Diceros bicornis minor: one gene and its partners. The protein of the gene in region 3 interacts with the protein of the main gene of each other region in a pairwise test. Links are inferred from orthologs where the notes say so. Each region holds a gene or a part of one and is shown on either strand. Other genes may lie near its edges.

The links.
Region 1: the proteins of PSTPIP1 (region 3) and TULP3 interact in binary tests that used the Homo sapiens proteins (3 or more experiments, as listed by UniProt). The two-hybrid records come from large-scale screens. The link is inferred for Diceros bicornis minor from reciprocal best matches to the Homo sapiens genes PSTPIP1 and TULP3.
Region 2: the proteins of PSTPIP1 (region 3) and PCDHB14 interact in binary tests that used the Homo sapiens proteins (3 or more experiments, as listed by UniProt). The two-hybrid records come from large-scale screens. The link is inferred for Diceros bicornis minor from reciprocal best matches to the Homo sapiens genes PSTPIP1 and PCDHB14.

Annotation. Positions count from the first base shown.
Region 1 is NC_080756.1:58,499,186-58,507,122, reverse strand, and holds the start of TULP3 (tubby-related protein 3), read left to right. Parts: upstream 1-4,931; 5' UTR 4,932-4,982; coding exon 4,983-5,023; intron 5,024-7,937. Other genes in the region: RHNO1 (RAD9, HUS1, RAD1-interacting nuclear orphan protein 1), read left to right, coding at 1,163-1,330, 2,417-2,974. UniProt on the Homo sapiens protein: Negative regulator of the Shh signaling transduction pathway: recruited to primary cilia via association with the IFT complex A (IFT-A) and is required for recruitment of G protein-coupled receptor GPR161 to cilia, a promoter of PKA-dependent basal repression machinery in Shh signaling.
Region 2 is NC_080740.1:59,407,979-59,415,458, forward strand, and holds PCDHB14 (protocadherin beta-14), read left to right. Parts: upstream 1-4,474; 5' UTR 4,475-4,610; coding exon 4,611-7,007; 3' UTR 7,008-7,222; downstream 7,223-7,480. UniProt on the Homo sapiens protein: Potential calcium-dependent cell-adhesion protein. May be involved in the establishment and maintenance of specific neuronal connections in the brain.
Region 3 is NC_080744.1:69,298,195-69,305,141, reverse strand, and holds the start of PSTPIP1 (proline-serine-threonine phosphatase-interacting protein 1), read left to right. Parts: upstream 1-3,880; 5' UTR 3,881-4,277; coding exon 4,278-4,313; intron 4,314-4,788; exon of another isoform or gene 4,789-4,882; coding exon of another isoform or gene 4,883-4,885; intron 4,886-6,947. UniProt on the Homo sapiens protein: Involved in regulation of the actin cytoskeleton. May regulate WAS actin-bundling activity. Bridges the interaction between ABL1 and PTPN18 leading to ABL1 dephosphorylation.

The DNA of each region.
Region 1 (7,937 bases), on a different chromosome or scaffold from region 3:
GAAACTGGTCCTCCTACTTCCAGGGTGCTTGTTCTCTCCTTTCACACTGTTGCCAGGACAATCTGTCTAAAAGACAAACACAAACAAAAAACCATTTATGATACAATTGAAAATTTGAACACTTCTGGATATTTAATAATATTAAGGTATATATATGTATATGTATTAGTTGTGTTAATGGGAATGATATAATGACTGGGAATATCATATTTTCTTCAAAACAATATAGGGGTGGGGAAGTGGATAGGGGTTTGGAGGGGTCAGGATTGGCCATGGGTTGATGGTTCTTGGAGCTAGGTGATAGGTACATGGGGGTTCATTATATTATTCAGTCCACTTTGGTGTGTGTTCAAAATTATCTAGGTTGAAAAATTTTTAAAAATCCAAGTGTGATCATATCCTTCTGCTTGAAAGTCTTCAGTGACTACTTAGGCTAAAGCCCAAACCATATAGCACACCTGGTTTTTCTGACCTGACCCTGACACCATGTCCAGCCTCAATTCTTGCCATTTGTCTTTTCGTATCCTGTGTCCAGCTGCATGGAGTCTGTGATTCCCTGAATTCACAGTGTTCCTTCCTGTCTCTGTGCCTTTGTATGTGCTGCTCCTCAGCCTGGATGCTCTCCCTGCCTTTTGGCTTTCCCTAGCTCTTCCATACCCAGGTCAGGTATCACCCTCTCTAGAAAGCCTCCCCTGGGGTGAGTGGAAGCATTCTTCCCATTGTTGTAATTGTCTGTCTCCCTCTGCTAGACTCTCAGCTCTTTGAAGACAGGGACAGTCTGACCTCTGTGTTTCTACAAGTGGTTGGCACTCAATAAATGATCGTAGAATAAATGGTTATTCATCTTTAACTTCCCGACACCCAGCATGGTGCTTAACACTTGCTCGATAAATGTCCATTGAGCGAATGCTGTTGAATGTGAACCACTGTGTTTTTACTCGCTGTATATAGGAAGCTGTGCTCCCCACAGTCTTGAGGTAGGGGTGGTAGTTGAGAGTAGAACTCGCTGGCAGGGTATGAGAAAAAGCTGGGGAATCGTCAGAATTACTTTCTCCCAGCTTTTGTTTCTTCTCTGCAGGCATGGGTTGGAATTGGAGCCACTCCCCCGACCTGACTACAACCAGCATCATGTGGTTACTAACTGCTCTTCATTCACTTCTTGATGCCTCCCAGAAAAAAACGCCGCCCAAGTTGCCAGAAAGCCCAGCTGCTATTCCACCATCAGCCACTGGAGAGCCCCAAACACCGCTATGGATCTCCACAGCTTCCCATCACCTACACTAGGCAGGTGCCCAGCAAGCCCATTGACCACAACACCGTCACTTCCTGGGTAGGCCATGGATTCTTACTGTGACCTTTACTCTGTTAGGTTTCTCACAATGCTGACTCTTCTGCCCCTTGAACCAGGGCCTCCAAAGAATAAGAAGATTCATGGGGGCAGGGACAAGGAGATAATATACTCTTTCTGTCATCGTCAGCCATCTTCTCTGGTATATCTTCTTTTCTAAGTTCAAACTGAGGCATGGTGTGGTTGGAATTGGAGTCTCCCGCCACATTCCTCTGAGAGAGTTCAGTATCAAAGTTTCACCTCCCACTAGCTGGGCGAGAAAGCCAGATAAGTGGCAGAACAAGTACAAAATGGGATTGTTCCCTGAGCTTCACGTGAGAGGTAAAGTATTTGGGTAGGTACTCTATTTACTGTTTAATAGTCTGAACCTTGAAAAAGAGCCACAGAAATGGCATATGTCATATTTTGTTAAAAGCCCTGGAGAGAGAACATAGCTCCTATAAGTCAGGGAAGTAGAATAGCAAAAGAGCCAGACAAAAGCATAAACTCTGCCTAAGAGTGCTTAATAAATGTAACTTGTCGGGGTTGCTTGGAAAAGCCATAATATTTGCTTCAGGATTGTAGAAGAGACTTAAATGTTAGAATCCTGGGGATGAGAAGAGGAATGAAATTTGTTGAGAATTCATTATGTGCTAGATCCTATGCTAGTTATTTTGCATACGCGGTCTCACTCCCTATTCTTGCATTCAGCCATTCATTCATTACTGGGTCCTTTCCTGTGTCAGGCACTCTGCTAGGTGCTGGGGATCAATGGTGAATAAGGCTGGTCGCTGCCCTCAAAGTTTAAAGATAGTTAAGTTGCAGCCATATGGTGTGATAAAGTGAAAGAGGCATTGTCCCCTTTCTTACACATGAGGAAACTGAAAGCCAGAGAGATTAAATAACTTGCCCAAAGCTCATATCCTTATCTATCTATCACATTAGACAGGTGTTTTTGTTTTGTGTCCATTACTATAGTAGGCCCCCATTTGGGATTCTGGACGTTGGGTGTAGTTTCCTTCCTGAGGTTTGTACTTGGTAGTTGGCTCTCCTCAGCTTTTTTTTTTTTTTTTTTTTTTTCATCCTTAGGTATCACCTCAGTTTGATACAACAGCAGAAAACTCGTTCCCAGCCAACCGGAAACGTCGTCGCAGAGACCAGGCAAGACATTCAAGTCGAAAATCTACCACCTCCAAGTTTCCACATCTAACATTTGAGAGTCCACAGTCTTCTTCCAGTTCAGCCACACTTGGGATCCCCTTAACCGGGGGATACCCCAATCAATCAGAAAAGGACATTTCCAGAAGGCCCTTCATTCCAATGCTCAGTCCCCAGAGCTGTGGGGAGCTGTCATCACACGCACTTCAAAACTTGCCTTATGTGTTCATTCCACCTGAAATCCGGACCCCAGAGTCATCTTCTGTGAAGGAGGGGCCCATTCCCCCAGATCAGAGGGAAGACAGCCTTCCAAGCTGCTCCCTTCACACTAGTACTCCCAAGAGCCCAGAGCCTGGGCCTGTTCTGGTTAAAGACACTCCTGAGGAGAAGTATGGGATAAAGGTCACGTGGAGGAGACGAGGGCACCTGTTTACTTACCTCAAGGAGAGAGGGAAGCTGAGCAAAAGCCAGTTCCTTGTGAAAAAGTGACTGGGTTTCTCAGATAACAGTAATCTCAAGACATTGATTGCTGGTTTTCACAGAGTTGCTCAAGTCGCTTTTCTGGCTCACAAGATAGCACATCGATAGAATAAAGTGGAAATAATACCAATAACATCAATAGAAAAAGATATTTTAACTAGACCCCTGGAGTCATAGGGAATTCAATTCCCAGATTTACTTTTTTAAATATCTTGTCATAAACAGTTCTTAGTGTCATAAACTGTTTACTTCATATTTTTCTTGTATTAACTGTTTCAAATTTTAACGTATCTTGTAGTAACTGTTTAAAATGTATGTAAACAAATGGTTGCAGGAACTTTTTAGAGAACCCTGCTTCTGACTGCCCCCTCCACAGAGGGTCTTTCCTAATGGTTTCCTTTAGCCACTACTCGTTAATCCTTTAGTCACCTCATGCAAACCAATTCATTCCACAGTTTTGAGTACTGACTCTGCGTCAGGCTCAGTGGCAGCTTCCTCTATGACCTGATGGATGGAAAAAATCTAAGCAAATTCTGTGACTTTTTATAGTTGAGCTGCCGCCTCTGCAACCTTGGCTCCTCTGCTGAAAGGAGAAGATTGAAGAAGGGGCAGCAAGCCCTGTTTAGTGAATACAGTGGGATCAGGGCAGGTAAAGGGGACATGAGTAAGTTACTTAGGTTTGCTGTGTTTTGATTTTTATTTCCAACCGAAGAAATCTCTAAATATTAAATAGGGTGGGAAAATGATTTCTTGCAGTAACTGTTTGAAATGTATGTAAATAAATGTGGAAACTTTTCAGAGAACAGTGCTTCTTATTGTAATTAATGCGGGACTACCCAGTCAACAAAATGTTTCCACTGGCCTTTCATCGATACAAATAGCATTTCATTCAACTCCATTCATTCAGCTTTAAGAACCCACTCTGTCAGGTCCAGCCGAGCCAGAAAGCAGGGATTATTGTGTTTGTTTTACGGACGGGAATTTGAAACACAGATGGTGAACCACGCTCAGGGTCGCATGGTGGGTGGAGGCTGGCCCAGTGAGTGCCGTGCTCTGCTCTTCTCGCTTGTGCCAAGTTCCATGCCTCTTAGAAATTCAAAACCAATGTGGAAACAACTTTGACGTCGGAATGCTATAAACTGAGGTCAGTGTGCAGTAACTGTCCGGATGTTTTGTGGGGACCATAACGCTGTATGTAAGTTGGTGGTGAGAAAAGAAGTGATGGTTGGGGACAAGATTTACTGGAAACGATAGCACAGATTTACACAGCGGATCTCGTCATGGAGTATGGATGTTTGAAGACGGTCCATAGGCTGTAGAGAGAGGTCATGGAAAAGATTGTCAGGAGAGTCCGTGGAGAAGGTCTAGAATGCTCTAAAAGCCTGGGCTGGAGTGGGGAGGCTGAAGGAGTTTTGTGCAGTTGAGTGCAAGACCAGGTAACTATATGAAAGATGCATTTAATTGGGTGTGACTGCTGCAGAGGGGACAAGTGTGGCTCCCAGGAAGGCCCTGGTGTCAGGGAAGGGGCCGGTCTGTGAGGGAGCGGGCAGAGATCTGCAAGCCCTAACATTACAGCCCTCGGGAAGCGCTCTGGGTGGTCTCAGTACAAACGGCAGAGGATTGGGGACGCCGCTCCGCGCGTGGCGGCTAGCGGGGGTAGGCGGCCCCTCCGACGGACTGGCTGCCTCGCCGCGGGAGCCCACGCGGCCGAGCGGGACCCAACACTCGGCCCTCAGCCCCTTCCCGGCGCCGCGCTCCAGGGCCGGAGCCCCAGCGCGTCAGCCCCGCTCCGGCGCAGGCGCCTCGCCTCCCGGTTCCTCCGCCCCTAGAAACCCTCCCGCAGCGCCGGGCGGCGGCCACAGCCAATGAGACAGGAGCGGCGGCACGAGGGCCAATGGGCGGCGGCGACAGTGCGGGGTGCGTTGCCAGGGGCGGGGCCTGGCTGCCGGCCAGGCTTGCCACCCTAGCAGCGGCGTCCCGGGGTCTGGATGTGGTTGTCTCCTTCTGGGCGGCGGGGATGGAGGCTCCGCGCTGCCGGCTCGGACCCCGCGGGGACAGGTCAGAGACGGGTGGTGGCTGGTCTCGTCTCGAGCGGGCGGAGGGCCTGAGACCGCGGCCGTCCTTGCGGGGGCTCTGAAGCGAGAGCGCTCGGTCGGGGGACGAGGCGGGAGGCGAGCAGAGGACCCCTTTTACAGGGGCGCGCTGGGGAGCAGCGGCTCTGCGGCGGCGCCGGGAGTGGGGCCTTCGTGTTCGTGTTCAGGTCCCAGCTTGGGAAACTCGTGGAGCTTTTTACGAGCTCGCCTTGCCCTCTGTGGGCCTCCTCACTCGGAGCGCGTTACCCTGCCCCTCGCACTGCCCAGCAGTGTCATTGCTGAGGTTGCATGAAGTCTCCGGGCTGTTGAAGCGGAAGGTTCTGGGTGATGTTTGATAGTTTGCTTAATGCGGTTGCGTCGGGCAGGCAGTGCTGAATTCTGCAAGAGTCCGACGGCTGAAAATGCAAAACTAGTCATCTTTTGCTATCTGCTTCTTAGTAACTCGCTCTTATGCGGCGTTGTCTGTCGTATTTGCAGTGGACCATGCCCCTTGTTTGTGCTCCTCTTGCTCTGCCATGCCCCTTTTTTCCTGCCTCCGCCAGAGGGAGAGCCTGGAAAAGAAGACGATCCGAAATCTCAGCCTGCCAATTTCTTGTTAGCTGGGTTAATGAAAAGTTAACGGGGAGCAGTGTGAAATGATTGGCTTAAAACTTTGGCATTGTCTGAGGATTTATTCTATTACCATAGCAAATAAAGATTTAGCATGTAAGGACTTAGTCTGATATTTAGACTAGTCGATGTTTAAACAATTGTAAACCATTTAAAAGCGTTGTCAGGAAGGAGGCGTTGGGGTACAGAACACTCATTTTTCTCTTTCATCAGATTTCATTGACGTAATAGCTGCGCTCTGTGAAATGTGTTCGCTGCTCTTTTTTTTCAAGTGGAGAGAAAAATATGCTACATTTACGAGTACAAATATGAAAATGCTAGGAGGAGGTAAAGTTAAAATTCAGCGTCTGTGTTGAATTCAGATGGTGCTTGTTAAGTTGTGGTCACTCAGTAAATCTTTTTTTTTTTACGAGGAGATCAGCCCTGTGCTAACATCTGCCAATCCTCCTCTTTTTTTTTGCTGAGGAAGACTGGCCCTGGGCTAACATCTGTGCCCATCTTCCTCTACTTCATATGGGACGCCACCACAGCATGGCTTGACAAGCAGTGTGTTGGTGTGCGCCTGGGATCCGAACCTGCGAACCCCAGGCCACCGCAGCGGAGCACGAGCACTTAACTGCTTGCGCCACCTGGCCGGCCCAGTAAATCTTAATTGAATGAATTTCAGGGAGTAAATTTCATGGGTACGAGATGTTTGATATGACTCATGATTTTTGAAAAAAAAAAATTGAATTGACTGAAATTGAGACAAGGAGGCAAAATGGTTTTTAATTTATTGGACTTGAAGTTTAAAGGGATAATTTAGAAGTTTTTCTGTCTTTTTTCTTCCCAAAGAAACCAGCTCTTTAATTTTAAATCCAAGGGGAATGTGTGAGTCACGGAATGTTCCTCCTGCAGCAGGTACTGTTAGTGCAGCTTCTAGCACAGTTTAACTCATTCGTTGCTGAGAGAAAGTGGAATAGGTCTTGCTTTTTTGGCTTTAATGGTTTTGATGAAATACATTGATAGAGTTTTTGGTATTAATACCTTTCAATGTGAAAGATAACATCTGACTTCTAAGTTTCTTGTGATTTTTTTCTTCTTTAATTATGTGACTCTTTTACCATGAGGCGGATGTATTTTCAACAAAGTATGGTAGTCCCCTCTTGTCCGTGGTTTCTTTTCCCGGGTTTCAGTTATTCGTGGTCACCCATGGTGGGAAAATATTAAATGGAAAATTCCAGAAATAAACAATTTGTAAGTTTTAAATTATAAGCAGTTCTGAGTGATGAAATCTGGAGTGGTCCAGCTCTGTCCCACCTAGCACGTGAATTATCGCTTTGTCCAGGTATCCACTGTGTGTACCTACCGGCCTGTTAGACCGTTAGTTAGGGAAAAATAGTACAAATGGGGTTCGGTACTACCCGTGATTTCAGGCACCCACTGGGGGTCTTGGAACGTTTCCCCTGTGAATAAGGGGGCACTACTGTAGAAAAATTATTAACAAGTAAACTCCAAATGTTTTTCCTATATCTGAAATATTTAGTGGAAATTGGAGATGGAATTTGAGACAGCACTCTCGGGACTTTTGTTGGGGCTAGGCATTTTGTATTATGGGTTCCCTGGAGATGACAGTGGTTTGCTACTCCTACAACTTGAGCTCCCTCTAGCCTTTTGTTCCTGATAGAAAATTGAAGATGTGATGAGAGAGACTTTTCTTTCTCGGTGTGATGAGAGAGACTTTTCTCGGTGTGATGTGACCTTGTGACCCAGAGTTGACTAAGAAAGTCCTAGTCTGTGGTTTATCCATATGCCATGATTTCTCTTTAGAAATATGAACAGTAGTAGTGCCTGAAAGTTATGTCTTGGCCAGGCTTGTTATCCTCTCTCATGTTCTCTCTTTTTAAAATGTTTCATCAGATGGACTAATTGTTGGCAAACAGACTTACCCAGTGCTTAAAAATACTTAGATTAACTTATACATGACCTCAGTATGTTTGGCAAATATCGAAAGCTATGGTAAAGGCCTAATAACATCTAGTGTGCGTGTGTTTTCCGAAATGTGAAGGCTACATACAGACCTAGGAAGGAAAGAATAATCCCTGTAATAAATTTCCCTTCTTCCAAGATCCTTCTGTTCCAAGCAGACAGACTCAGATAGTTTTTGGAATAGTTTCATTTCTGGCTTCTCTTATTTCCTGTGGAAACTCCGCTGTTTTCCCTGCATTTGTGCCCGTTGAAAGAAAAAGTTAATGTTTCCTCTCAACCAAGAGGAAAAGTATGCTTGAATT
Region 2 (7,480 bases), on a different chromosome or scaffold from region 3:
TGCTCCTACATCCCCTATTGCAATGTCATAATCTGCATGACTGTAGCTGGGTCACTGCCACAACTGGGTTCTAGCTGGCTGGGAGGGAGGGGACACATCCAGATGTCTTCCATTTCAGACCCAGGAGAGGCAAACAAAAGTTCTATGCACAATCTGTGAGAACTTAATTCACTTGGCCACACTTCACTACAGGGGAGGCTGGGACAGGCAATCTATCTGAGTAGCCATGTGCCTGGGTACAGTTCTATTATGTAAAGAAAGGGAACAGATTTTGGCAGACATCTATCAGAATCCTCCACAATGATCATCTTCTTGAATCCCCTGGATAATTTTAATAATTATTTTTCTCGAATTTTCTGAAGCATTTGCTACTGTTGATCTTCATCATCTCCTTGAAATGGTTTTTGCTTTTGGTTTCATGATTCTGCACTCTGGGCCTTCCTCGTCTTTTAAAAGATACTTCTTTTCCTCTCTCTTCTCATGAAGGTGTTTCTCAGAGTTCTGTGCTAAGCCTCTTCTATCCTTACTTGATACACTTTAGCTTGGTTATCTTAGAGCTCTCATGGTTTCAATCACCATGTACATGCTAATGAATCCCAAAGTCCATATCTGCAGCCCAGATTTATATCCTGTGCTTCTGTTATATATGTACACACATGCAAATATACACAGGCATGTGCATATGCACACACACACACACATACATAGCCCATAGGTACTTACCTCAATATCAGCATGTCCAAAACTGACTTCATCTTTTTCCACTTCAATTTTGTTTTGTTTCTTTTCTGTGTTCTGTCTCAGTGAATGACACCAGTAGCCATCCAGTTGCCCATCCAGATGTGTGTTAATCATCCTTGAGTCTTTCCTCTTTTTCTCCCAATGCAGCCTATCAATCACCTGGACTTAAATACTTTTATCTCCTAAATATCTTTCTAATCATCCCTCTTCTCCCCATCTACACTAGCATCACCTCACCCAGGCTACCATCATCCCCTAACTGGTCTCTCTGATTCTAGTCATTCCCCTGAAATTGAGTCTCCATACTTTGGCCAAACTGATTTTTCAAAAATGCGGATGTGATCATGTCAGCAAATGCTTAAAATCCCACATTGTGTTTTAATTGCCCTTAGGATAAATTATAAAGTGCATGATATAACCTATATAATCATTTATGTCCTCACCTTGATTTTTTCCCAGTCTCATTTTTAAGTTCTCCCCTTTCATGGTTTAAAGTTCAGGGCGTACTGAACTTTTCTCCGTTCCTCAAAATGTCTGTCTGACTGAAAGCCATTCCTCTGAGAACAGGAACGAGGCAGGGCTGCCCACTCTCACCACTCCTGTTCAACATAGTACTGGAGGTTTTGGCCAGAGCAATTAGGCAAGAAAAAGGAATAAAAGGAATCCAAATAGGTAACGAAGAAGTGAAACTCTCACTATTTGCAGATGACATGATTTTATATATAGAAAACTCTAAAGAATCCGTTGGAAAACTATTAGAAATAATCAAAAACTATAGCAAAGTCGCAGGGTACAAAATCAATCTACAAAAATCAGTTGCATTTCTGTATGCTAATAACGAACTAACAGAAAGAGAGCTCAAAAAGATAATACCATTTACAATTGCATCAAAAAGAATAAACTATCTAGGAATAAATCTTACCAAGGAGGTGAAAGACCTATACAATGAAAACTACAAGACGTTATTGAAAGAAATCGATGATGACATAAAGAAATGGAAAGACATCCCATGCACATGTATTGGAAGAATAAACATAGTTAAAATGTCTATATTACCTAAAGCAATCTACAGAGTCAATGCAATCCCAGTCAGAATCCCAAGGACATTCTTCACAGAAATAGAAAAAAGAATACTAAAATTCATATGTGGCAACAAAAGCCCCCGAATAGCTAAAGCAATCCTAAGAAAAAAGAACAAAGCAGGAGGCATCACAATCCCTGACTTCAAAACATACTACAAAGCAATAGTAATCAAAACAGCATGGTACTGGTACAAAAACAGACATACAGATCAATGGAACAGAATTGAAAGCCCAGAAATAAAACCACACATATACAGACAGCTAATTTTGACAAAGGAGCTAAGAACATACAATGGAGAAAGGAAAGTCTCTTCAATAAATGGTGTTGGGAAAACTGGACAGCCCCATGCAAAAGAATGAAAGTGGACCTTCTGCTATCACCATTCACAAAAATTAACTCAAAATGGATCAAAGACCTGAAGGTGAGACCTGAAACTATAAAACTCATAGAAGAAAATATAGGCAACACACTATTTGACATTCGTCATAAAGGAATCTTTTCAGATGACATGCCTACCCACACTAGGGAAACTAAAGAAAAAACAAACAAGTGGGACTTTATCAGATTAAAGAGCTTCTACAAGACAAATGAAACCAGAATCAAGATGAACAGACAACCCACCAGCTGGGAGAAAACATTTGCAAAACATATATCTGACAATTGGTTGATCTCCATAATATATAAAGAACACACACAACTGAACAACAAGAAAACAAACAACCCTATCAAAAAATGGGCAGAGGAAATGAACAAACACTTCTCCAAAGAAGATATACAGATGGCCAATAGGCACATGAAAAGATGTTCAACATCACTAATCATCAGGGAAATGCAAATCAAAACAACACTAAGATATCACCTCACGCCCGTTAGAACGGCTATAATCACCAAGACAAAAAACAACAAATGTTGGAGAGGATGTGGAGAAACAGGAACCCTCATACACAGCTGGTGGGAATGCAAACTGGTGCAGCCTCTATGGAAAACGGTATGGAGATTCCTCAAAGAATTAAAAATAGAGATGCCCTATGATCCAGCCATCCCACTACTGAGAATCTAGCCAACGAACCTGAAATCAACAATCCAAAGAGGCTTATGCACCCCTATGTTCATTGCAGCATTATTCACTATAGCCAAGAAGTGGACGCAACCTAAGTGTCCCTCAACTGACGATTGGATCAAGAAAATGTGGTATATATATATACAATGGAATACTACTCAGCCATAAAAAAAGACAAAATCATCCATTTGCAAGAACATGGATGGGCCTGGAGGGTATTATGTTAAGTGAAGTAAGTCAGAAAGAGAAAGACAAACACTGTATGATCTCACTCACATGTGGAATATAAACCAACTCACGGACAGAGAAAACTGTATTGTGGTTACCAGGGGCAATGGGGGTGGGGGTGGGCACAAGGGGTGAAGGGAGACATATATATGGTGATGGACACACAAAAATGTACAACTCAAAATTTCACAACGTTAAAAACTATTAAAACATCAATAAAACAAACAAACAAACAAAAAAATGTCTGTCTGAAACACTCCTCCTTCTCCTGGCTAGCTCCTTCAGATCACAACTTATAGTTTACTACCTTAGGAAAGCTTTCAATGATGTCCAAAAATCTGTGTTAGATTTTATTTGTTTTATTTTTAACAGACACTTAACTAGCACTTACTAGCCACTTTGTAAATATTAACTCATTAGATTCCTACGATAATAATCCTAGGAGGTAAATACCATTATTGTCCCTATTTTACAGGTAAGGAAACAGAGGTACATAACTTGCCCAAGTCTGAAGATAGTGAGTGGCAGAACTAGGATTCTAATGTAGATATTTTGGTTCCAGAATCCATGTCCATAACCACTACACAATGCTGCCTCCTAGGTACAAGATGTCCCTTCTAGGTATTTCTATATTACTCTTTACCTATGAAAACATTGTGACATATTTTAGTTACTTGTCTGCCAAATTTTCTAGCCTGTGAGCTCCATAAAGGATTATCTCTATCTTATTTATGTCATGTCCTTACATGTGTAGTTTTAAAAATATATTGGTGAAAAAAGAAATGACATTACTAACTATAATTAACTGATTCAACAAGTATTTACAAGAGTGGAGGAGAGAATATATTTGCAATTACTCAAGAAATGGCCTAAATAAAATATTACTTCTTCAGTTCAGAACATTTTAATGGATTCTTCTTGACAGGCATTCAAAACATAGCTAATTAAATGTACTATATGGAGTTTCTTTGGATCCTGATTCAAACAAATCAACAGTAGAAAACATTTTGGGGAAAACCAAACACAGACTGTGTATAAATTGTATCAAGGAATTATTGGTAAATTTGTCGATTGTGGTATCATAGTTATATTTTAAAAGTTATATTTTAAAAGACTTTGTCTATTAGAAATACTTAGTGAAATATTTAGAGGTAAAAACACATGATTCTGGGATTTGCTTTAAAATACTCCAGATGTATTCATGAATTACTTGTTCAAAGAGAAAAAAATTCTTACTGAAAAAGGATTCATAGAGACACATGGTGGCGCTGCAGGATAAGATGAAAATGATGCATGGTCAACACTGTGGGCTCCATTATTCAGGGGAAGAGAGAACATCCAACCCACTGAAAAGGAAGGTACTAAAGGAGCTTCTTCTACAGAGCTGCTGGAGGGCTATTTACCCACCAGGGGGTTCTCAGTAAAAAATCAGGGCTTCAGCTTCCAAAATTGGCGCTGAATTTAAATTTTTCCACAAAAGAAGTTGCCTGAAGGAAGCATGGCGATCAGAGGGGCGCTCGCTCTGCAGAAAAGGCAAGTCCTGATTCTCTTTGTTTTGCTGGGATTGTCTCAGGCGGGTCTTGAATCTGTGAGCTATTCTGTGGCAGAGGAAACAGAAGTTGGCTCTTTTGTGGCCAATCTGGCAAAAGATCTGGGGCTTGGGGTGGAGGAGCTGTCCTCAAGGGAAGCCCGGGTAGTGTCTGAGGATAATAAAAAGCATTTGCACCTCGATTTGCTGACTGGGGATTTGGTCCTAAATGAGAAACTGGACCGAGAAGAGCTGTGTGGCTCCACCGAGCCCTGTGTGCTGCATTTTCAGGTGGTATTGGAAAACCCTTTACAGTTTTTTCGGGCTGAGCTGCATGTCAAAGATATAAATGATCACTCCCCTGCATTCCTGGACAAGGAAATACTTATTAAAATATCAGAAAGTACCACTATCGGAACCACATTCCTAATGGAGAGTGCCCAAGATTTGGACATAGGAAGCAATAGTCTCCAAAACTACACAGTTAGCCCCAATTCTCACTTCTACATTAAAGTTCGAGACAGCAGTGATGGAAAAATATACCCAGAACTGGTCCTGGACAGAGCGTTGGATCACGAGGATAAGCTGGAGCTCAGATTAACACTCACAGCACTGGATGGTGGATCCCCACCCAGGACTGGGACAACTTTGGTTCTCATCAAGGTCTTGGACGTCAATGACAACGCCCCTGAATTTCCTCAGAGGCTCTATGAGGTGCAGGTCCTGGAGGACACACCCGTTGGCTCCTGGATTATCACCATCTCTGCTAAGGATTTGGATGCAGGAAATTATGGGGAAATATCTTACACATTGTTGCATGCATCAGAAGATATTCGTAAAACATTTGAAATCAATCCAATATCTGGGGAAGTACATTTGAGATCACGCCTGGATTTTGAAGTAATACAGTCATACACTATAAATATTCAGGCAACAGATGGCGGGGGTCTTTCAGAAGAATGCACCCTTCTGGTTAAAGTAATAGATATAAATGACAATCCACCAGAAGTGACCATGTCGTCAATTACAAAGATAATTCCAGAGAACTCCTCAGAGACCCTTGTCGCTCTTTTTAGTGTCCGAGATCAAGACGCTGGGGACAACGGGAGGATAGTTTGCTCTATTCAAGATGACCTCCCCTTTTTCCTGAAACCAACCTTCAAGAACTTTTTTACTCTGGTTTCTGAAAAAGCACTGGACAGAGAGATGAGAGCCGAGTACAACATCACCATCACTGTCACCGACTCGGGGACACCCAGGCTGAAAACAGAGCACAGCATAACCGTGCTGGTCTCCGACGTCAATGACAACGCCCCCGCCTTCACCCAAACCTCCTACACCCTGCGGGTCCGCGAGAACAACAGCCCCGCCCTGCACATCGGCAGCGTCAGCGCCACAGACGCAGACGCAGGCGCCAACGCCCAGGTCACCTACTCGCTGCTGCCGCCCCACGACCCGCACCTGCCCCTCGCCTCCCTCGTGTCCATCAACGCGGACAACGGGCACCTGTTCGCCCTGAGGTCCCTGGACTACGAGGCCCTGCAGGCCTTCGAGTTCGGCGTGGGCGCCACAGACCGAGGCTCGCCGGCGCGGAGCAGCCAGGCGCTGGTGCGCGTGCTGGTGCTGGACGACAACGACAACTCGCCCTTCGTGCTCTACCCGCTGCAGAACGGCTCGGCGCCCTGCACCGAGCTGGTGCCCAGGGCGGCCGAGGCGGGCTACTTGGTGAGCAAGGTGGTGGCGGTGGATGGCGACTCGGGCCAGAACGCCTGGCTGTCGTACCAGCTGCTCAAGGCCACGGAGCCCGGGCTGTTCGGCGTGTGGGCGCACAACGGCGAGGTGCGCACGGCCAGGCCGCCGAGCGAGCGCGACGCGCCCAAGCACAGGCTGCTGGTGCTGGTCAAGGACAACGGCGAGCCGCCGCGCTCGGCCAGCGTCACGCTGCACGTGCTGCTGGTGGACGGCTTCTCGCAGCCCTACCTGCCGCTGCCGGAGGCGGCGGCCGAGCAGGCGCAGGCCGACCCGCTCACCGTCTACTTGGTCATCGCCCTGGCCGCGGTGTCGTCGCTCTTCCTCTTCTCGGTGCTCGCGTTCATCGCGGTGCGGCTGTGCGGGAGGAGCAGGGCCGCCTCGCTGGGTCGCTGCTCGGTGCCTGAGGGCCACTTTCCGGGCCACCTGGTGGACGTCAGCGGTACCGGGACCCTGTCCCAGAGCTACCAGTATGAGGTGTGTCTGAGGGGAGGTACTGGGACAAATGAGTTTAGATTTCTGAAGCCGATTATCCCCAGTCTTCCAGTCCATGATACTGGTGGGAATATGGCAGGAAATGAGAACTTTAGGAATAGCTTTGGATTCAACAGTCAATAAAATAATTTATTTTAAACTTCTTTATTATTCTTAGCAGAAAGCATCTAGTTTTTGCCTATCTGTAATAGATTTTAGGTTGCACTATAGTTGCATGTATTATCATTTCTTACAGTCTCCTCACAGTTGCTTTAAAAATCTTTTTTTAGTGGCTATAATGACATGGAAATATAATCTGTGCACTTTCTGTGTTTTTTTTTATTTGGTCAAAAATATTAACAGAGTTATCGCTAATATTTTTGTTGTGATAATGCAGTTATGCAAGACAATGTTATTGATTATTTGGAGGTGCAAACTGAAATGTTAAAAGCGAATGCCACAATATATGTAATTTACTTCTAGACATTTCATCAAAGGAAAAATAAAAAATGCTATTGGATCTGGGTGGAAAGTATATTGGACTTTATTGGACTATTTGCTTTGAAAATTTTCATCATAAAGGGTAAAAAATGCAACCTCTCCATATTCAGTACTCA
Region 3 (6,947 bases):
GGTATTAATACTCCCTTAGTGGTGGCTAGCACTATTGTTTTTGTTGCTTATTTGGCTCAAAAGAATGGATGAAGTGGCTTCAGGAGCTGAGCCCTGCCAGGTGACTGGCTGTGGTGATTGATGTTGTAAAAACTGATTTCACATTTTATTCTCAATCCTTGGACCTACTACTTTTTGAATTCTTCAAGCAGATGTGTTCAAATCCCATGCAAAACAGGATGGGGCTCTGCCTGCACAGGGGGACGCCCCCTTAAAAAAAGAGTGACAGCCTGGCCTGAGGTGCAGCAGCCCAGACCTCAAGGCAAATTGTGTTTTGAAGCAGCTGGAACAGTCGTTAAAAAGCTATGATTTTCAGGACTGGATTTCCCTCCCCGGGGGGCTGGTGAAGGAGGGAGGCTGGAGAACAGTTCCCTTTTCTGGGAGGGACACTCAGATGTCTCCATCCTGCTCCTCCACCTCCCCGATGTCCCACCAACCCATCCCCCCCACCCCAGTTGCCCCATCCAGGCCTCATCCCTCTCTCAGAGTTATTACAACACCCTCTTCCGGTCTCACCTCCTCTGAGCCACTTCGCATCCGGAGAGATCTTTCTAGAACCTGTCTGTGGACCCCTCAGGGCGGAGACTAGGTCTATATCCTCTCTGAGCCCTAGCTCCAGCAGGACCTGGCAGGAGTTAGTGCCCAGCAGTGTTTGTGGACCTGGTTGAGAGAAGGCTGTGGTGGTCACGGTGGTTGGCTCCCAACATCCATAACACCCCAATCAAGGGATCAGGGGAGGCCAATAATGGTGAAGTATGAGTATGTGACTCACTTCTGGCCAACGAGACACAAGGGAAAGTCTCCTGGGAGGCTGGGGTGGGGAGGACTTTGGAGAAAATGAGACACAAGGAGAAGTGTCCCTTCTCTTCCTGTAGATGTAGCTGTGTGTGGAGTTGTAAGCCAGAGCTGCTGCAGCCTGAGGAGGAAGATAGGAGATGGAGGAAAATCACAGAGAAACTGAGCTGGGGACCCAATGTACCCCACCCGGAGGCCACACTGCATCCAGATCCCTTGTGTGGGTGATAACACACTTCCTCCATGCCAGACCCTCTGGTTGTGTGTTCCTTGCAGCCAAAGCATCCTTAGCGGGTGCAAATAACACAGTGAACTTGGAAGACCACGTACCAGGGCTGGACTCTCACCCAAAAGCACCGCCAGCCCCAACAGCCTTCCTGGACTCAGTTTTTCCACTTGTAGATCAGGGTGAGATGTTCTGGAGGCAGAACTGGAGAAAGAAAGGGGGAAACCCACTGTTAAGAGAGGGCTGTCGGTAAAAGATAGCTGTGGAGGTTAACAGCATGCGTGGGCTTTGGCATCAGACAGATCTGGGTCCGAAGCCCAGCCCTCTGCTTACTGGCCGCCAGGCCTTAGGTGAGTCACATAAACTCTTTAATCACTAGTTTGCTCCTCTGTGAAGTGGGAATGATGATAGTGTGTACCCCACAGGATGGGGTGAGGGCTAAGCGTGGTGACCCACGTAGAAAGCTTAATGGTGCTCCCAACACTTGGCAAGTGCTCCCAAGCTGACTGGCGGTTCTGGTGGCACAGGCTTGGGAGCTGCATAAGCTGGGGTGGTGGGGAGGGGAGGAGGCAGATTTCTCTGTGGCGGAGAACTTGAGAGTCTCCTTAGATGCCTCCCATTACTCCTTCCCCAATTGCTCCAGCCCACAACCAGCATGCCATCCGTCTGGGGCTGCCCTGGCTGGACCAGAGCAGTTGGGAAATGAAGGCCTCATATGTGGGGGCCTTGAGGGATGGGAGAATTTACCCAGGTCAGGAAGATCAAGGAAGGCATGCCAGGAGGGAGGCTGGGGGACCAAGGGGCAAAGGTGTGGAGGTAGGGATGGGAAGGGTACCTTTGGGGAGAGGGTAAAGTCCTGTTTGAAGTGGAAATTCAGGGGGATGATGAAAAGAACCCCTGGAGAGGCAGGGGAGGGGGCCTGGCCATGAAATTTTCTGCCAATAAGAGGGTTTGTTGCTGTTAGTACCACTGAGTGAATTTTAACTCCTAGTGACCCTGTGTACAGCAGAGCAGAACCCTGCCTGGTCTTTTTGTGCCTTCCTCTCACCTTCCAGCACTATGTCAGACAATGCTCTGCTGCTATTCATGGGGTTTTCATGGCCAATTTTTTCACAAGTGGGTGGCCAGGTCCTTCTTCCTAGTCTGTCTTAGTCTGGAAGCTCCGCTGAAACCTGTCCACCAGGGGTGACCCTGCTGGTATTTGAAATACTAGTGGCATAGCTTTCAGCATCACAGCAACACGCAGCCGCAACAGTATGACAACCGGCAGACAGGTGGTGTGGTTCCTTGACAGGGAAACAAATCTGGGCCACAGAAGTGAGAGCGACGAATCTTAACCACTAGACCACCAGGGCTGGCTAATAAGAGAGTGGGAGCTTTCTATTAACAGGGGGTTTCTAGTCTGCCTCCAGAACTAGAGGCATCACCCCATTTGATAGGTCACAAAACTGAGGCCAGGGAGGCTGAGTCAGTGCAATCAGAAGTGGTTATGCCATGGGGATGAGGTACAGCCTCAATACTTAGCCTTCTGGGTTTAAGGTGATATTTACACCATTAGCTGTCTTCAGCTGCAAGCAACAGAAAAACCAACTGGAGTGCCTTCAATGCTGAGGGTGTGTATTAACTCAAACCCGAGGATTCTGGAGGTAGGGGGCTCCCAGGGGCAGCCCCACTGGTCTGCAATTCTCCCTGATGTGTTCTGTCTTGGGCAGCTATTTCAGAAGCTTGGGTGTGCCCCATCTGTAACCCTGGGCACACATAACTGGCACTTGGGAGCTTAGCTCTCTTCTGCAGCAGCTCTCATCCGTCTTACCACCCTCCGTCAATGGTAGGGGAGGCAGTGGCAAGGGTGGTGATTTGTGGACAAGCCTGACTCATCCCTTCTTGCCAACCCACCCTGGGGTCAGGCCCCCCTGCCGGCACCTTCTGCTGAGTGGGCAGGCCCTAGCTCCTCAGAGCTGTGTCTGGGGCTCCAGCCCAGGGATCTTCCCAAGGAGATACCAGACAGTGACCCCAGCACCTGCCCAACCAAACAGAAATTCCAGTAATGTTCTCAACACTGTCTCCTTCCCAAAGACTGGGGGCTGGCAGATGGGGAAACTGAGGCTCAGAGAGTTGGAGGGTCGATTAAGGTCCCTCAACCACTGAAGGGTAAGGCCCAGACAAAACAAAAACTGGGGCCTCAGTTTGGGTTTCCAATGCCTTTATAATCCTGTCTCTCTCGGTCCAACCACATTCTTCCAGCCTGAAGACTCCAACTTCAGAGCGTGGCTTCTTGCCCCAGAGTGTCTACTCTGGAGCTGGGGGGAGGGGAGCAGTGCCCATCAGGCCTCATGCTGTTCTCCCTTGGTTAGTTACCGGCTCATCCCACCTCTGTGCTCCCACAGCCCCCAGCCCCCAGCTGTGTCTGCCCCCAGACCGTGAGCTCCTTGAGGGTACGACATGGTTTGGGGCCCTGAGCAGCCAGGGTTTGATGAATGAGAGGGATGTCCTGGGCCTGGGTAAGCCCCTCCCAAATGGGTGGGTGAGGGGTGGAGAGTCTAGCATCTCTGGGCCTGGTCTGGAGTGGGGCTGGGTGGTGGGCAACAGCACCTGGGTTCCTGATTCCCTCCTTGCCCACACCTTCCCTGGGCCTCAGGCTCCATAAGTTGATGGCCTCTGAGAACGGCCAGCTAGGACATGAGAAAGGGGCAAGTGGAGGAGGCAGGCAGCAGGGTGGCAGGTGGCAGGCGGGGCTGCGCCGGGGAGCACAGCAGCTCTACTTCCTGTGGGCGATGGCCCTAGTGCCTGCCCCGGAGGAGGTTGCACAAACCTTCCTGCTCAGGCCTCAGGCTGCCTGCCCACCTGGCCTCTGCACCAGTCTGCCTCTCCCGCTGGCCACTCCTCTCAGTCCTGCAGCCTGGGCTGTGTCCTCATCCCCACGGGGCTGGCCAGGGGCCGGGCCGGACACCGGGACCCGCCCTCCCATCCCTGGGCACCCCGCCTTCCTCATTTTGCTGCTGATTCTAGCCCCAAACAAAATAAGTTGAGTCCTCTTCCTCCCGCAGCAGCGCGTCCCTGGCTTGCAGCTGCCTTCTGAGGCACTGCAGACGGCGCCGGCCAGGGAGGGGGGGCCTGGGCCAGCCCTGCCGGGTCTGGGACGGTGCGCCTGGCTCCTGGCCCTGTTCAGCCCTGCCTGTGGCAGGAGAGTGAGCTTTGCCGTGGCAGACGCCTGAGGATGATGCCCCAGCTTCAGTTCAGAGATGCCTTTTGGGTGAGTGAAGACGGCTGGGGCTTTGAACAAGTGAAATGGGCCCCGGGGGAGGCGGGCAGCTTGGCTGAAATTTCCTGTGGCAGTTCATGGGGATGTGGCTCCAAGAAGGGGGTTTTCTTATAAAAAATAGTGGTTGGTTTTTTGTCTTGGAAGATTTTTGTCTTGGAGGTGACCTGGGCTACTGTCCTTTCTAAGTTGTAAGATAAAGGGGGTCCTAGCCTGGGCCACTGATTTCTCTGCAAACTCACCACGGTGGATGAGGGATCTCCTCTGTGCTCCCAGGGCTGGGTGACCCTCTCTCCACAGCAGGATCTTTTTAGAGGAGTCTAATGTATGGGTGGGAGTTTGAGGCGAAGGAAGGCGGGGGTCGTGGGTTTGGGGACCAGACAAACTTGATCTTGGATCTTGGCTCTGCTATTTAGAGTCTGGACAAGTCATTTTACCTCTCTGAGTTTCATTTTCTCCATCTATATAGTAGAGATAAATATTAATAAACATACCAACTGAATGGAAGGATTAAACAAGGCGATCTAACGTCATCAAGTCCTGGCAACTTGCTGGCATGCCAAATGGTAATTCTCATCCCCTCACCCACCCTTCTTCCTTGAAGACCTGAGAGGTCCTCTGAGGAGGCAGCAGGGCTGGGTGATTCCTTGCTTGCTTTCTTAAATTCAGCACAGGCACAAATCAAGTCCTTTCCCCGTGAAATTATGGCCCCTGGCGGGCTCACAGAGGTGAAATGGCTTGGCGCAGGCCACACGGCCTGCAAGCCCCAGATCCCCTCAGCTTTTTTCCAGCTGTCTCTCAACCTTCCCGCCTGCTCCTCAAGCTCTGGCTTTCCCTAATGGCTCACTGGGAAAGTGGAGACCTCTCTGGTTAGAGTTGAGGAATGTGGCTGTCCGGAGGGTGCCCCTCCTCCAGCCCCGCAGAGGACTCCTTGGCCCTCTGCTCAGCCAGCTCAGCCTCAGCCAACAGCCTGCCCTCCCTGGGCCCTTTCCTGGGGCCTACGGCCAGGAGGATGAGAGCTAATGAGCCTTCCTTCTCTTCCGGTCCACGCTCTGCTTGAAGCCTATGGCCAGTGTGTGAGTGGCCTGCTTCTCGCTGGCACTGATTGCCCAGTGGGCAGTGGGCTGCCTGGGGAGGGCACCCTGTGCCTCTCTGGGCCTCCATTTCCCCATCTCAAAGAGGGGCTGGAACCAGCCTGGAGAATCTGATGGAGGCAGACCTGGCTCGGCCCATCCCAAGTATCAGGCTGGCAGGTGTGGGTGGGTGGCTGCAGTGGGGGAAGACAGGGGGGTGGTGAGTCACCACGTCACACCTCTGACTTTAAGTGTGTAGTTAAAGTAGGGCCTGGAAATCCAGGGTGCTCCGTAGCCCAGGGCAGGCCAGGAGATCCTAAGTGTCTTACCTCCAGGACATCTGGGCCCATCTTCCCCGGGGCAGAGCTGGGGCAAGGAGCAGCCTCATGGCAGGATCTGGGCAGCAGGGGATGGTATATGAGGGAGCAGGGTGTGGCGGCAGCAGCAGCAAGAAAGCAGCCTACCTGTGGTAGCTTCCTGAGTGGCAGCCCGCCCAGGCTTGCCCCACCTCTGAGCCGCTGCGGGCTTCATGGCCTCCGGATGCCTCCTCCCCTCCATTGCTGACTCCTTAGCCCTGGGTTAGGGGTACAGCTTCCCTGGGGAAGGCCAGAGCAGGGAGGGGGAGAGAAGTGGCCAGTGGGAGCCTCTCACACTGAGCCTAGGCAGATGCCCCAGAAGGTCACTGTCAGCATCACTGCTCCCAGGGCTCTGAATTCTAACACTTCCTCCTGAGGCTCAGCCCAGCTCAGTCCATGAGGAAAACTAAGACTACTGAGCACTACAGATGTGCCAGATGCTGTTCTCAGGACCGTGTATCTATCTACTCATTTAAAGTGATGAAGTAGATGCTATCCTTATCCCTGTTACTAAGAGGAGGAAGTTGAGGCACAGAGGGCTTAAGTAACTTGCCCAAGGTCACACAGCTGGGCTTAAACTGACATGTTGACTCCAGTGCTTGGGCTTGCACCTGGGGCACTTCATTATCCCTCAATTAACATAGCAGATCGCTGGGTCTTTGGGCCATATCAGTGAAATGGGGAGAAAAATTCTGTCCTTCCTACCTCCCAGAGAAGTAAGATCAGACGAGGTTGATAGGAGTATTTTGAAGCTCAATTTACAGACATACTGATTTAACTGCAGTCAGGTGTTAGGGACAGAGCCCAACCTCCCCCTCCCCCGTCTGCCCCCTTCCCCAGCCCAAGGCAATGCCATTGGACCCTGCAGCTTGGCTGCACACTGTTTGAAAATGACTAGTCTTTAATAGTGGGAGGAAGCCCCTGAACAAGAAGGATCATGTCTGATGCCGTAGCACTGCAGTTGTCTGGCAACCTCAAATCCAGAACACAGGTGAGAGCCAGCCCTGTTTCTGGCACTAGCTCTCAGTAAGGGGGCAAAGATGGTGGTTTCTGAAAAACTAAGAGCTTGCGCTAAAGCACATACACTTTATTCACGAGATGGCACATAGCTTTTAGTTAGAGCCTAGGAACCCTGATTTTACCTACAATTTTAACGAGCTTGGTCAGGTGCTCTTTTAACCTATAGATGCAGCAATTAG